2 linked regions of the Diceros bicornis minor genome follow. The protein of the gene in region 1 binds, or shares a complex with, the protein of each later gene. Links are inferred from orthologs where the notes say so. Each region holds a gene or a part of one and is shown on either strand. Other genes may lie near its edges.

Region 1 (7,388 bases):
ATGGCCGGAGAAGCGGTGCGTTGGCGCGCGCCCGGGATCCGAACCCGGGCCGCCAATAGCAGAGCGCGCGCACTTAACCACTAAGCCAAGGGGCCAGCCCCTCCCTTGCATTTTCATGTGAATTTTAGGATCAGCTTGTCAATTTCCACACACAAAAAAAGGCAGCTGAGATTTTGATAGGATTGCATAGAGTCTATAGAACAAACAGGGGAGTACTGCCATTTTAATATTGTCTTTGCTACTATTTCTTGATGAACTACCTAGATAGATGATGATTTAGCTTCATTATAAACCCTGTACTTCGCTCATGTCTTCCTATCCTCTCAGTATAGCCTAATAATTCCTTGCTTCTCCATGGTTAGTTTTCCTACTTCTAACAATACATTTTAACAACCATTTCTGGTTCTGCCAACTATACACACAATCTCTTGAATGCTTCTACCTTTACCTCTACCTTTCCTCCCTACATTCCACATCTAAAACTGTCAGCTATACTTTTACCTTTATATTGTCAACATTGATATAATTTATAAACTATGCTTTAACTACAGCAAGATTATCTATAATTTATTAATAGGTCAAGTCTAAAAGTTGAACGCCAGAAAACAGCATTTTCTAAGCTTTCTATCATAGTAATTAATTATTCAGTTGAATTCTCTCTTTTTCAGATTTCTCTCCCAGAACTCCTATCCTTCCATTCCAATCTGGCCTTGCTCTTGGGACTTTTCCTCACTGTTTTCCTGAATTAGATCTAATGATTCCTGGATATGATGTTGTCAGATACCTGTTTTCTACCTCATTTTCCTCAAGCACATCTTCAAGTAACTCTTTCAAAAAAGGGTACATAGGAGTTTAACTTAATGAGTCCCTGCATATCTGAAAATATTTTCATTCTGCTCTTTCACTTAATGATAATTCAGCTAGGTATAGAGGGTTTTTTTGAAAATTAAAAATTTTTTCTTAGAATTTGAAGTTCAAAAAACATTTCTCAGAAACTTGAAGGTCTTTGCCTGTTATCTTCTCATATCTAGTGTTGCTGTTAAGAATTCTAATGCTAGCCTGATTCTTGTTCTTTTATAGGTCACTTTTTTTTTTCTCTTTGGAAATTTAGGACCTTCTCTTTATCTTTAGAGTTATAACATTTCACAAAGTTGTTTTTTCTTTGTTTTTGCTCTGCACTAGTGGATGCTTTCAGCTCTGGAAAATTTTCTTCCATTACTTTTAGGGTAATTTTCCATTATTTATTTACTTTATTTTCTCTTTCTTTTGTAATATTAGTCCTGTTGGATTAACTCTCTATTTCTTCTATATTTTCTCTTGCAATCTCCATCTCTTTGCATATTTCTTCTATTTTCTTTAAAATTTCATTGACTTTATGTTTCAACACTTCAAGTGAATTTATAATTTTAGCAATTTCTTATTTCTAATTTCAAGACCTACTTTTTATTTTTGGATTGCTAATTTATCTGAACATACTGTTCTTATTTCATAGATGTAATATAAGTCTGTAAGCATACTAATTAGTTCTTTTTTTCTTTTTCAGTGAGGACAATTAGCCCTGAGCTAACATCTACTGTCAATACTCCTCTTTTTGTTGAGGAAGATTGGCCCTGGGCTAACATCCGTGCCCATCTCCCTGTGGGATGCCTGCCATAGCATGGCTTGATAAGCAGTGCATGGGTCAGCAACCGGGATCTGAACCTGCAAACCCCGGCCCACCAAAGTGGAGCCCCCGAACCTAACCACTACACCACCCAGCTGGCCCTCAATTATTTCTTTTTAAGTTCTCTGAAGTTTCCCTTGTTTCCTCTGTGGTCACATTTTCTTTTTATCCTCCCCCTCCCCAACAAATTGGAGACTTCCCTTAAATATCTAATAATCCTTGGTGTCTGTTCATATTTAAGATGAGGTAGTTGGAATACTGATTAGGAATCTTGTGAACTTGGGAGGGTCTTTTGAACTTGCACAACTTCACTCTAGGGTAAGTGGATAGGAAACTGGCTATTGTGCCAGAATGAAGAATGCTTTACTCTGAGTCATTAAACGCGCAAATAGCTGCCCAAGTCCTCCCCAGAGATTATAGAACTCTTGACTTTTAGCTTGGGATAACTGCCTAGCTATTGTAGCTGAGATATACAGAGGGTTCTGCTGTTCTGTATAGAAACCTTTATTTAGTCTCCGTGTTTTCAGCCCTGCTTCTCACGCTTGCTCTCTCTTGTCTGTGTCTCCAAATTTCAGTCTCCCTAAATCATCTCTGGCAGAGAGGCCCCCTTCCTTGGCTGCAGCACCTCCTACACCTATTCCACACTATGGTTCCTTCCATTTTGTTTAGTCAGACTGCACTCACTTTCTGTGAGTAAAATTTAAAAATAAATTATCTTTTGGTGGCCCCCTTCCCATTTTCTATTTTGTATGAGTGTGCATCATTTTTTTTAATTATCATTTTATTTGGGGGTCTCAGGAAGAAAAGGCAATGAATGTATGTGCTCAGTTAGCCAGCTTTAATTAAAAAAATCCTAAATGTAGGTTAAAAAAAAAGATATCTGAGGCAGAGTAGGAAATAAGAAAAAACAACCAGTGGAATGGCAAAAAAAAGAAAAATTCTGAGTCTGTGATATTGACAGTATTCCTGTGTATATATAACTTAGTGCATAGCATCTCAAACTCTCCAGATCTACACATTTTAGGGCTATGATGGATCTCAGACATCTAGTTCACACCTCATTTTACAGTTAAGAAAAGTAGGACCGAGAAGCAAAGTGATTTCCCCAAGGCCGCATAAGTAGAGAGTGGCAGAATGAAAACTAGAAGGATATGACTTCCACTTTATTATTTTTTTTACCTCACCACTCTGCTGGGGAGTAACAGGACCGGCACATCAGCGGCCAGATGAGAAAGATCCTGAAAAACAGTCAAAGAGGGATGGCTTTTCCTGGGCCAATAGCTAGATGCCCAAGAAAATGAAATATTTCAGGTTGCTTATTTGGGAGCCATATAGTCAGTCTCCTTCTCTGGCAGCAGCCTAACAATTGGTAGCCATATGTTGAATGTGCTGAAGGGGGCGACTGTACAGCAGGACAGGGACCTGCAAGAATCCAAGTGTGTGGTGATCCTATGAGGGAACAACTAGAAAGCCTGGGCAGGATGAAACAGTAGAATTTGGTGAAGAATGAATGTGAATACTGAGGAGAAACGGGAAAATGTTAGTAGGATTATGAGGGAGCGTAAACTGGTTAACTGCGGTGGCGGAAAGTAGGGGTAAAATGATGACTCAATTCCTTTCAAGGGCATTTTAAATTATTTCAATGAACACTGGAGCGCTGGGAATAAATACAATTCACATCACTCTTCCTTTCTTGGTTTAGAGATAGCTTATCGACATCCTTAATGGATGCAGTTACCCTCTTTGCATGGTTCCGACAAAAGAAAACCCGACTGCGATTCAGCACAAGAGAACTGGCTTGCCTGAAACAAGGTACCAGTTGCCTGGTAGACTTGCCTAGCTGTGGTGAGGACTCAGTAAGACACTGTAGCACCGCATTTGGCACATCGCAGGTACTGAACCTGCACATTAATTTCCGCCCACGCTCTCCTCTCCTGCGACAATCACTACAGAAAAACGACGCACACTGGCGTGGTTCTTCCACGACGCCTGAATTCTTTCCTTAGGGCCGTGTGGACAGTCCCGAGTACCTCAGATCATATTACTAGCTTCCGCGGCCAAAGCTAAGGGTGGGGAAAAATCCAACTTCCCTGGACAAAGGGTGCCCACTGCGGCCGCGGGCGCGCAACCGGGAACGTACTGACAGCCTTAGAGCTAGCCCCGACGGCGCCGGCGGCCCCGGGGTTTGTCTAACGGCCCCGGGAGGGAGGGGGTGGGGCAGCTCTAAGGTCTGGGAAAGCGACGACTCCGCTCTTCGGGCCTGGCCCGTCCACTTCCTACGGCAAGCAGAAGGAGACAAGCGCCGCCTTGCCTCGCTCCCACCTACCGCCTCTTCCCGAGCCGGCTGCGGCTCTCCCCTCCCGCGGCCTCAGGGGCCGCGTGTGTGTGTGTGTGTGGGGGTGTGCGTGCGTCTGCCCCGTGCCCGTTACTCTGCTTCGGCGCGCGGCCACCGCCGGGACCCTGCGTCACCTCGCCGCCCTCCCCTAGGAGGCGCCGGATGCCAGCGGGCCGCCGAGCCGTACTCCCAGGAGGCTGCCAGAGACAGAGGCGGCCCGGCCCGGAGGAGGCGGAGCTCGCGGCGCCTCGCGGCCGGGCCTGGGGGCGGTGCTAGGTGTCTCGCGCAGGGGGCGGGGCGCGGTGACGTCTGCGGGCGCCGGGGCCGTACTGTGGCTGTGGTGGTGGGGGCGGCGGCGGCGGCGCCCGGGCGGTAGCAGCAGCCGCGCTGAGGAGGGTGAGACGGCTGCGGTGGCGGCAGCTCGGAAGTCGGGTGGGCCCTAGAGCTTCCCGCCTTCGCAGGCGCTGAGGCTTTTGCCTTTTCTTCGCCTGCCTCTCCCTCACGGCCCTGGGTAGGGCAGGGCAGCGCGCCCCCGGGCAGGGGCGGAGCTGTAGGTGAGGCTTCGGGACCCCCTCCCCCTCCGCTCCCTGCCGGGGGGATGGGGAAGTCCGGGAGGGGCGGGCCCCACCCCAGCCCACCGGGGGGCTCCACCCGGCCGGGCTCCGGGTTTGGACGGGAGCTGAGGCGATAGATGTGGGGAACCCGGGGCGGGAGGTGGGAGACGGGGGCTCTGGGCGCTCGGAGAACCGAGCGGGGAAGGTTTATGAGGCGTGATGTTGCGGGCGAGGTAGTGGCGAGATGGAGGAATTGGGGAGCCATGAGGAGGTTGGGGTGCGGTCAGGGTAGATCTGGGTTTAGGTGATTGATGTAAAATGTTGAAAGAGGTGAGAATTCTTTTTTTTTTTTCCCTCTGTGTAAATGGTAAGATAGGAGGTGAAGGGTTGTATTTCAAAAAGGTGAGCTGTGGATGTTGCCTTTGAGGCATTTGGAGAAGCGATTGCACTCGGTCTGACATTTCTACTTTAGGGTTTTGGTTATTTTTCTTTTTATCATCCTGGCGGGGGGTGGGTGGGTGAGTCCCGGGGGGAGGAGAATCTCTCTGCTTTTGGCTCGGAGTGGGTAAATTATGAGCGTGGATGGATTTGAAGTTTTAGACCCTTCAAGAAGAGTGATATCTTGGGTTGACAACTTCATTCTGGCAGCAACATAAAGGAATAGGTCCCATTACACTTAGTTCCTTAAAGGTGTTATCTTCCAGTCTTTTTTCTGTACCTGAAAGGTCTCTTTATACCATCTCTTTTACTAGCTTTATTCTGGTCCCTTACGAGAAGGCCTGAGAATCAAGTGGTTGCTTTGGAAGACACATTTCTGAGTAATAGTTGCAGGTGGTTGTGGTTGACTGCTTTGGATAGATAAATGAACAATTTGAACAGTTCTGTCGAAGCCAATTATATGAAAAATGCTTAAATGTTTTAAAGCACTGCTGTCTTTTACAGCTTGTTTTTCAATAGACCTGATGTTAGACATTTTAAGTCTTCAGCACTTAATTATTTGAGATTATTTTTATTTCTCAATTGCAGATGTCTTTATTAGACACTTTGAAAATGAAGTGGAATAATTTTTTTTTTCTGGTAGACCTCTCAATTTCTGAGAAGTGTTCTTGGAGTCAAGGGCTTTTAAAATGCTCTTTAATAACATTTTTGGGGGCATGTGTCTGTCACTTCATAGGGAGATGTTACTACAGTAAACAGCGTTCAGTGTTCTTCACATCAGTGTTTCACAACTTAGCACATCAAATCAGAATCTTCTTTTCTGGACTCCTGCTCCCTATTAGGTTATACTATCTAATAATCACTGACCTTACCTATCAGTGTCATTTGAGCTATTTCTTGCTCAGAAAACAGGTCATGTAATGAACATGTATTATGTAATGGATGGAAGTAGGCATGACTCTCAATAATTCATTTATGGAGGAAGAGAAACCGTCATGAAATGGAATTTAAGCAGTGACTTTCCCAAGGCTTACTCAATTTATTTGGGAACATAGCCAGAGAAGTGCTTTCCTGTCACCCAAGAGAGAAATATACAGATGTGAGTGTCAGTAGTTGCAGATCATTGCCTTTTTTAACATGCCTACTTAATGAGCAGACTATTATCTTCTAGCAAATACTTCTGCTTGAAGAGACTTATAGGAAGCAGATGATATAATAGCTATTAAGTGAGAAAGGGTGTGGTCCAATTTGTAATTATAAATAAAAGATTTAATTAACTGTATTCAGACAGATCAAATTATAAGTTGGTACAATGAATAGTTTTGATTTGGGATTACTTTGATGGAAAAATTAAAGTTCATATGTCTAGTTTTGACTTTTAAATTTTACTGTGATTTAATTGGGTACACGAGACAAATTCGAACTAAGATACTGGGTGAAACTTGGTGCGTATATTGCTAAAATGACATTTGCATGGCTGACTGTGGGATGTTATTCTTCTTGTAGGAATGAAATATATGATTTGAGGGAAAGTGTAAGGTAGAAGTGATCTATTTCTCTTTAGAATTTTTTATACCTAAAAAACCCGCTACTTTTTATCTTTCAAGAAATGTCACTTTTTAGTCGTTACTCTGATATCCTTGTTGAGTCTACTCAGGTGTTCCTTTTTTTAAATTACTAAATTAAGATAAATATGTCAGTCTGTTAATTCAACATTAATACTGAAAACAATTGAAGCTTTTAGCAACAACTGCTCCTCCTCTACGATATGTTTATGCTTTTAGAACTAGTATAAGAGCTGTTAAATGTGTGTTTTACACATAGTGTATCAAAAATATTGATGGAGAAAGACCAGGAATGAAGTATTTTGGTTAATCAAATAATAACCAGTACATTGATTATCAATTTTAAGAGAAATATAATGTAATAAAGTAAACTTAGCATAAAGGTTATGTGGAATATGATTTTTTTTCTATGGCTCTTCAACATCTGAGCCTTAGGGCATTGATTCATTCATTTATTCATTCAACAGTAATTTATTATGGTTCCAAGTACTTTTTTAGACATTGGGGATACAGTAGTGAACAAAGTTGACAAAAATCCCCACCTTCATGGAACTTACCTTCTAGATACCTCTGGGGAAGTAAAGAGGAACCCAGCAAAGGAGAATGATAAGAGGTCATTGAGTTAGCAGGAAAACCAGGGGCGTGTGATGTACGAGAAGTGAAGGAAAGGAAGTTTCAAGGAGGAGGGAATGATCAACTGTGTCATTGTTTAAAGATGTGTCAGAGTGTTGGGTAAGAGAGAATTCTGCTTGATTATAATGTCTAGTAACAGAGAAATGACTAAATGCTTTTCAGTGGGAGATGAGACAAATGTAAGAATCTTTCAGTTTTTT
Region 2 (7,160 bases), about 24 Mb from region 1:
CTTTTTAGGGAAAACTCTGGGAATAAGAAATCACCATTGTGCAATATCTCTTGCCTATGTTTTCACCTTGAAGCAGTGTTTCTTTAATAAAGAATCAATACACAGACCCAAATGTGAATGGATATACATTCACTCATTCCCTCATCCATTCATTGTTTTGAAAACGTAATTCAAAACCAGGTCAGAAACATGTAATAATATCTTTGAAAAGACAGAATGATGAATGAGGTCTTCTTTCCATTAACAGTTTAAAAAACGTGCTATTTGGGATATAGGTACTTTTAAAAATGGGAGACGAAAAACTCAAAAAGGTAATTTTAATGTAACAAATTACCAACATACTCTAAATTAAGTACAAAAATACAAATATTTCATGAATATGAAAGACAGGTCTTAAAAACAAGTCAGCTAGTCAATAACTGAGGGGAAAAATGACCTTGTTCTGATTTATCTCATGTTGGTACAAAGAGTGACAAAGACTCCATAACCAGAACAGAGTTAATGAACTCTCACCGAACTTGTTTCCAAAAAATGTTTACGATGCCCTTGAAATTAGGCACTACTGATCTGGAACTATATTGTGCCTGGATCTCAAGTCAACATTTGTCCACAAAGGCCAGATTATCCTATTGTTTTAAAGCAGCTACTAGAACTATGAGAGCTACTGGTCAAAGAGAATTTAACCAAAACCTGATTCTACCTCTCTCAACAACACATAGGTCTTTCAAATTTTATCCTTTAAAAGTACCGTGTTTTACTACACCACATCTACCTCATAAACATGGACCAAGATGGAGAAATACTGGTTAAATCTAAGCATGTAAAATGACTGTTATTACTCAAACTGTGAATAAAATTTAAAGCTTCGGCATAATCAAGTCCCTAAGCCAGGGCTGGTTTTTTGGAAAGAAAGCATAAATCTGAATTTGGTACATCAGGGTAACATCATAAAGATGCTCCTTACTTGACTGGCTATGAGGGACTGCAGTCTGAACACCTCATCAGCCACAGGCTCCAGAGAGCCCACATCAGCCCACAGGAATTCCACATCATCTCCTTCTCCATCCTACTGAAAAAGTACCCTGGAAAATACAGTATGTTTTACGTACTTCCTATAGAATATAAATAGAAAAAACTTGTTCACCATTATTTCAGAGCCATTAGGCAATTTCTGTTTCCTAACCCAAAACACAAACCAAAATTAAAATGGTCTGGCCTTTCCAGTAGAGCACACCTTCCCTTTGCAAAGAGCCTGCTTTTATCCACCCTGTACTATTTCATTCTTTTAGGAACTAAGAACAATACAGACCCGGGTGTTTTATAAACAACAGCAAAACAAAACACTTCTTTCCAGCCCTGAAACCTGTCATCTGGCTAGAAAGATGGAGAATTCCATTTATAAAGTCCTGTAACTTCACACTTCCCGACTTGGGTTTCTTAGATGCAATGTTGTGCCTTCTTTCTTTCCTCATCTGGAAATGCCCTTTCATTCAGGCACCTGGGATGCAGCCTTGACTCACAATAGAGTCCACGTCTGCCCGTTTCCTCCTGATCTGGTAACAGAAGGATCCTCACTGCTGAGGAACAGAGGTGAAAGAAAAAGGAACTTGACTCAGGAATCTCACCCATACATTTTTTTTCTTCTCCAGAGCCTTAAGCACTGAAAAGTGAGGGTTCTGAATCAGTTGATGGAGTTAACTTTTTGCCCCTGAAAGTCAGTCACACCCAGTTAGTGACCTGGGCACAGAAAATCTCCCAGCAGGAGAAAGAAAGGGTTTGAAACAGAAAATAAAAAAATCAGAATTCTATACTTCCACTTCTGAAAATCTTCCTCCCAACAGGCAACTGCTTTCCCTAAATGCCAAACTGGAACGCTAAATCAAGTTCTCCTTCTACTGCTCTTTGCACTTTCTTACTGAAAGGAAGGATTTGTTTTGGCTCCACATGTTGAAAAATTCATGTTCCTATAATTAAGAGTTTGTGTGCCACACCTTCTGGCCACATTTCCCTGTTAAAACTCTCTTCTCTAAAAATGATCCCTGAAAACACAACTACCAGCCCTGATCCTTTTCTCAAGTGGCCACAGAAAACAGATCTGAAGATTCTCAGCAGCCTTCCCCAACCCTCCAGATCACTCAAGTGATCTGGCACTCAATTAAAACATAAGAGTGAAAAAGAGTTGGAGTTTTAGAAGTGTGCCCCCAAGAGACGGGTTCTCCCACAAGCTCATAATTAATACACCCCAAGTGAGTTTCTCACATCCTGACTGGACTATATAAAAGGATTTATGATGTTGATATATAAGACTGTATAAGAATAACCATAATACTCTTTCATTTAAATCAGTATGTAATAGGTCACAGGGGAACTAAAAAACACAAAACTTTTGTTGTCTCAAAGAGCATAATTTTTGAGTCGACATTTCATAACTTTTTGTGACATTTTTAAATAACCACACACACACACACCCGCACACAGACACAGACACACACTTCTCTGATTGGGGTTCTCAAGTATTACTGGGAGAGAGACTAGGGTGCGGGGGTCTAAGGACACAGACAAGACCTTACATGTCCAATCCTGGAGGTATTTTTCACATATAAACTAGTCGGGACCCCAGGAGTAAGCCCTACCCCGTGCACCACCAAAAGTGCCCTTTCCCACTGGGAAACAGGAGTGAGTTGGAAAAGGAAATCGACCCGGGGAAGAGGAGGAGCAGCTGCAACACCCAGCTGCAACCACACAACGGTGCCACTTCCCTCCGGTCTCCGAGTGGAGCCGAACGCCCTTACCTGGGGGGTGGAGAGCCGCTGGCACTAGTTCCAGAAGTTCTGGTTCACCTTCCGTCGGAGTTCAAAGCCCCAACACTGGAGCCCCGCAGCAGGCTCGCAAACCCCAATCCTTTGCCGTCCGGCCCCCGCCTTCCCCACCCTCTCGGCCCTACACCATGTCAGGAATCCGGGCAGGCTCCGAGCTGGGAGCTGACATCACTCCCAGTTCCAGGTACCTCCCCCTCCCACTGCCGCCTTCTCTCCTCCCTCCCTGCAGGAATTAGCCAAAGAGAGTCCGCAAGGGGGTGGGGTCGGCCGCGCCCGGGCTCCCGCTGATTGGGCCCGGGGACAGTCACTCAGAGGAGTCAACTCATTTTATACATTCCTCGCTGAGCCAGACTAGGGCTGGAAGTGGGTGCTGATGGAAAAAAAAATGCTGCCTTTCCTGCTATCTCTAAGGAAAAGGAGATAATGGGATGGGGGAAGAACCTTGCGGGTCCTGTTAACTTTTCTTGGCGTATTTACTATATCCCAGATCAGAAACGAAACTAACCCACCCGTGCCCCCTTTTTAAGGAAAAACAGTTGCCTCTGTGTCACGGACAAGTACGGTCTGCCGGCGCGTGGAGCGGAAAATGGCTAGCTTGAAGTCATGCAAATAAAGGAAAACGCCAGCTCGCTCTTCTACCCTTTTATCTGGAGACTGCTGAGTGTTCCCTTAGACGAGGAATTTACAACTTCAAAAGCACTTGGGAAGATTTGGAAAGGAATCTCAGAAACGGCGACTCAGCAATGAATTGTTAACTGGTGGCGTTATCAACCATGTGGCTGCTTTTGCGTTTAGCGATGAAAATCACTCCACCCGAGCTTTCAGGCAAATAAAATTGAACCTCCAAAGTAAGAAAAATTACTATTTACCTTACTCAGGACCTTAAGGCTGCTGTTTTCACGCACAACTGAAGGGGCGGCGGCGGGGGGGGGGGAGGATCTCACAATTGGGTTCAACGAGGCACATGAGAATAATTACTGTTGAATAGAAGCGGTTGCAGAGGCTGAGCTATCAATTAAGAATTAACTAACATTTAAGCTTGACGGATATCATGCTGTATAGTCCCCTTGGCTAGCAGAACAGAATGCTTCTCAGGAGATGGTCCTTTCAATATGCCCAATATCCGATTCAATGCAGAACTGAAAGGTGAAAAGTGGCTCTATTGACATGAGATATAAGTAACGCATTATCCATCATCTTCTGGAAGGACAATGAATTAATTATTGACTTTCTGTTGGTTTTTATCGTCTGGGTTTTTTTGTTTTTTTTGTTTTTGGTGAGGAAGATTGGCCGTGAGCTAACATCCTTTACCAATCTTCCTCTTTTTGCTGAGGAAGATTGGCTCTGAGCTAACATCTGTGCCCATCTTCAACTGCCCATCTTCCGCTATGTGGCATACGGGACACTGCCATAGCATGGCTTGATTAGTTGTGCCTAGGTCCATGCTGGCGTCTGAACCCGTGAACCACACGCCGCCAAAGCAGAGCGGGCGAACCCAACCACTACACCACCGGCCGTCCCCTTTATTGTCTGTTTTTTGATACATGACAACATGTCATGCATTTCACCATTCTGCTAAAAACTGTAAAAGGATGCATGGAGTCCAACATCGTGTCTCATTTAATCCTCACAACCATCCTGTAGAGCGAGTATCATTAGCCCCATTTAACATAAGGAATCAAAGGCTCAGCAAGATTATGGCAGTAAATTGCTTCAGAACACCCAGAACTGGGGTTGAAACTGAGGCCCATGTGACTCCAAAGCCATTTTTTTCTCTTTACTCTAAAGTGGTGATTGCTCACAATCTACACCCATTCAAACACTGTCATGCAAAAAAAATCCACAGACCCACTCTATATTAGTACCATGGTGCTGTTTTTCAGACCTACACAATTCCAAGCTCCTAACATATTTCTGATGCCATTTTTCCCCAGCTCTTGGTCCTTCTATGCACCACTACCAAGTGAGTTTTTAAAAACTATTTGGTTTTGCCATCAATATCTTCCCCTCCACATTGGGCCCCCTTTTCCCTATAATTCTTAGCCATTTAAAACTCTCCTAATCTGGCCTCTATTTACCTTTCCCACCTTATCTTCTATTTCACTCCTGGGAAATCCTCTGCTGCAGTCAAACTGGTCTACTCACAGATCCCCACTTGATTCTCACCTTCTGGCCTACGTGGAATCCCCATTCTTCTATGTGCTGTCACACCTTTCTCTCAAAGCCTAATTAAAGTTCTTGTCCTCACTGTGTGCTACAGTGGACAGAAAAAGGGCTTGAGGTCCATAGCTGGGTTCTGCCACTTACTTGCTGTGTAACTTTGGCCAAGTCACTAAAACAACCATCAGAAACCTCAATTACCTCTTCTGTAAAAAGGGGCTGATAATACTCACATCAAAGGTTAATTGAGACTGTATAGATGTGTAAACATATGATTGTATATGTCCAGTTGTATACATTTCCTATCTTCCCAAACCCTGAAGAGCAAGCTCCATACTTAATACCTCTTTGTATCCTTTATACCCAATTCAAGGAAAAAACTCAATAAAAATACAGGACTACAGAAAATTTATCATCATGTCACCTCTAACCCCCTCCATTCCTTAAAGGTACCCTACCTGCAAATAATCTTATAGCCAGAAACCATAATTATCTCTTTTTTTCTCTCTCCCTCTCTTTTTATGCTTTGGCCACAGTCCTTCCCTTTTCCCACTCTCCCACCATTCATGCAACAACCCTTAACCTCCTCAGATATTTTCTGCACCAGCCACTTAACCTGCCTCTTAGCCACTCATCATTCCCTCTCCCTCAGTCAGGGACACACTTGTCTGTTGTACCTGTTGCCTGCCTTGCTCCCTAAGTGCCTTCAGCCGTGGCTGGGTGGCTACCATCATTCTTCCAGCCCCAGTCACAGGGTGGCTGCATCCAGGCTCACAGCCTACAACCAGCAGCAGATGGGGGAGGGAATGTCCCACCGCCACAGAGATGGCAGGATAGAATAACAGGAAGTTGCCTCCCATCCCCTCTGCAGCTGGAGTGATAACAGCTGCCATCAGAGTCCAGAAAACAAAAGACTCAAAAGGAAAGCTGAAAACAGTCCAGGGCTGGGTCAGTAGGGTTCAAACCAGGGGTTCCAGAGTGGGTGAGGAAGGAACCAGTGAGGGAGACTTCAGTCTCCTCTCCACCCCAGCTTTCCCTCCACCTTAGTGTTACAGCTCCTCTCTGTTCTACATTTAGGCTCCACTATAATGCTTCATTTTAAAAAGAGAGTCTAACACTCAGATAAATATATTGAAACCACTGGCCTTGGTATCTTGGGGAAGCCCCAAAGGATCAGGACAATGCAGCAGAAGCGAAATAGGATACCTGCTGAGCAGATACCCAGAGTTTACCCACTACCCTGGATTCTAGCTGGCTTAATGGAAAAGTTTACACCTCCTGTGGTTTCAACACTTATTAGCTCTGTAGGTCTAGATAGCTATTTTCTGCCTATGAATTTTGCCAGATACTATCACTGCGGGGTGGGGGAGAGGAGGAGAACCTGTGAAAGCAGGAGAAAACCTGCAGAGAACAACAAAAGTAGAACTTGAAATGGACCCTAAAGGTCATGTGACACAAGCACCTGTTGGATGCAAGAACCCCTCCTACGGCCCTCCTGACAAGGAGCCTTCCAGCCCCTGTTTGAATTTATCTGGCAACAAGGAGCACACGAGCTAGGAGAGCAGCCCACCACTAAAGATCTTTCTCCTAGGGAGCCGGGTCCTGCTTTTCTGACTCTTGCCCCAAGACCTCTGTCTTGTGTCTCACTTAATTCTCACAACCATCCTCTAAGGTGAGCTTTATTAGCCCCATTTTAACATAGGAATCAAAGGCTCAGCAAGGTTACATAAGTAAACTGCTCCAGAACACCCAGAACTGGGATTGAAACCAAGGTCTCTTTGACTCCAAGCCATTTGTTCTTTATATATCTAAAGCTTTGATTGTCCACGGTCTATCCTTTTTCAGTTCTACCCTCTAAATAACAGGAAGCAGGTTGACTCTTTTTGTTACCCCATCCTCAAGCCTGTGCAGGCACAAGGACGCATCCCCTACTTACTCTGTTTAGATGCAGATGCCGGGAGAGGCCCACCTGACTCATCAAAGTGTGTCATTTGCCTGTCTGGTCTTTATAGGCTTCCAGCTACAGCTCTCTACAGCCCAGTCCTGATCACTCTTGACTCCTTTTGAAACACTTGAACATCTCCCCTTCACCAAGGAACAAAACCCAAACTCTCTTGACTGGCATCCAAAGGCCTTTACATCCAGCCGCCAACTTACCTTTCTGAACGTACTGTCCACTCT

Evidence for each region. The genes of interacting proteins can lie anywhere in the genome.
Region 2: ERC1 (region 1) and PPFIBP1 share a complex: the UniProt entries of both Homo sapiens proteins name them as parts of the cortical microtubule stabilization complex. The link is inferred for Diceros bicornis minor from reciprocal best matches to the Homo sapiens genes ERC1 and PPFIBP1.

The regions. Positions count from the first base shown.
Region 1 is NC_080756.1:59,588,384-59,595,771, forward strand, and holds the start of ERC1 (ELKS/Rab6-interacting/CAST family member 1), read left to right. Parts: upstream 1-4,371; 5' UTR 4,372-4,394; intron 4,395-4,416; exon of another isoform or gene 4,417-4,552; intron 4,553-7,388. UniProt on the Homo sapiens protein: Regulatory subunit of the IKK complex. Probably recruits IkappaBalpha/NFKBIA to the complex. May be involved in the organization of the cytomatrix at the nerve terminals active zone (CAZ) which regulates neurotransmitter release.
Region 2 is NC_080756.1:35,554,491-35,561,650, forward strand, and holds the start of PPFIBP1 (liprin-beta-1), read right to left. Parts: upstream 3,008-7,160; 5' UTR 2,793-3,007; intron 1-2,792. UniProt on the Homo sapiens protein: May regulate the disassembly of focal adhesions. Did not bind receptor-like tyrosine phosphatases type 2A.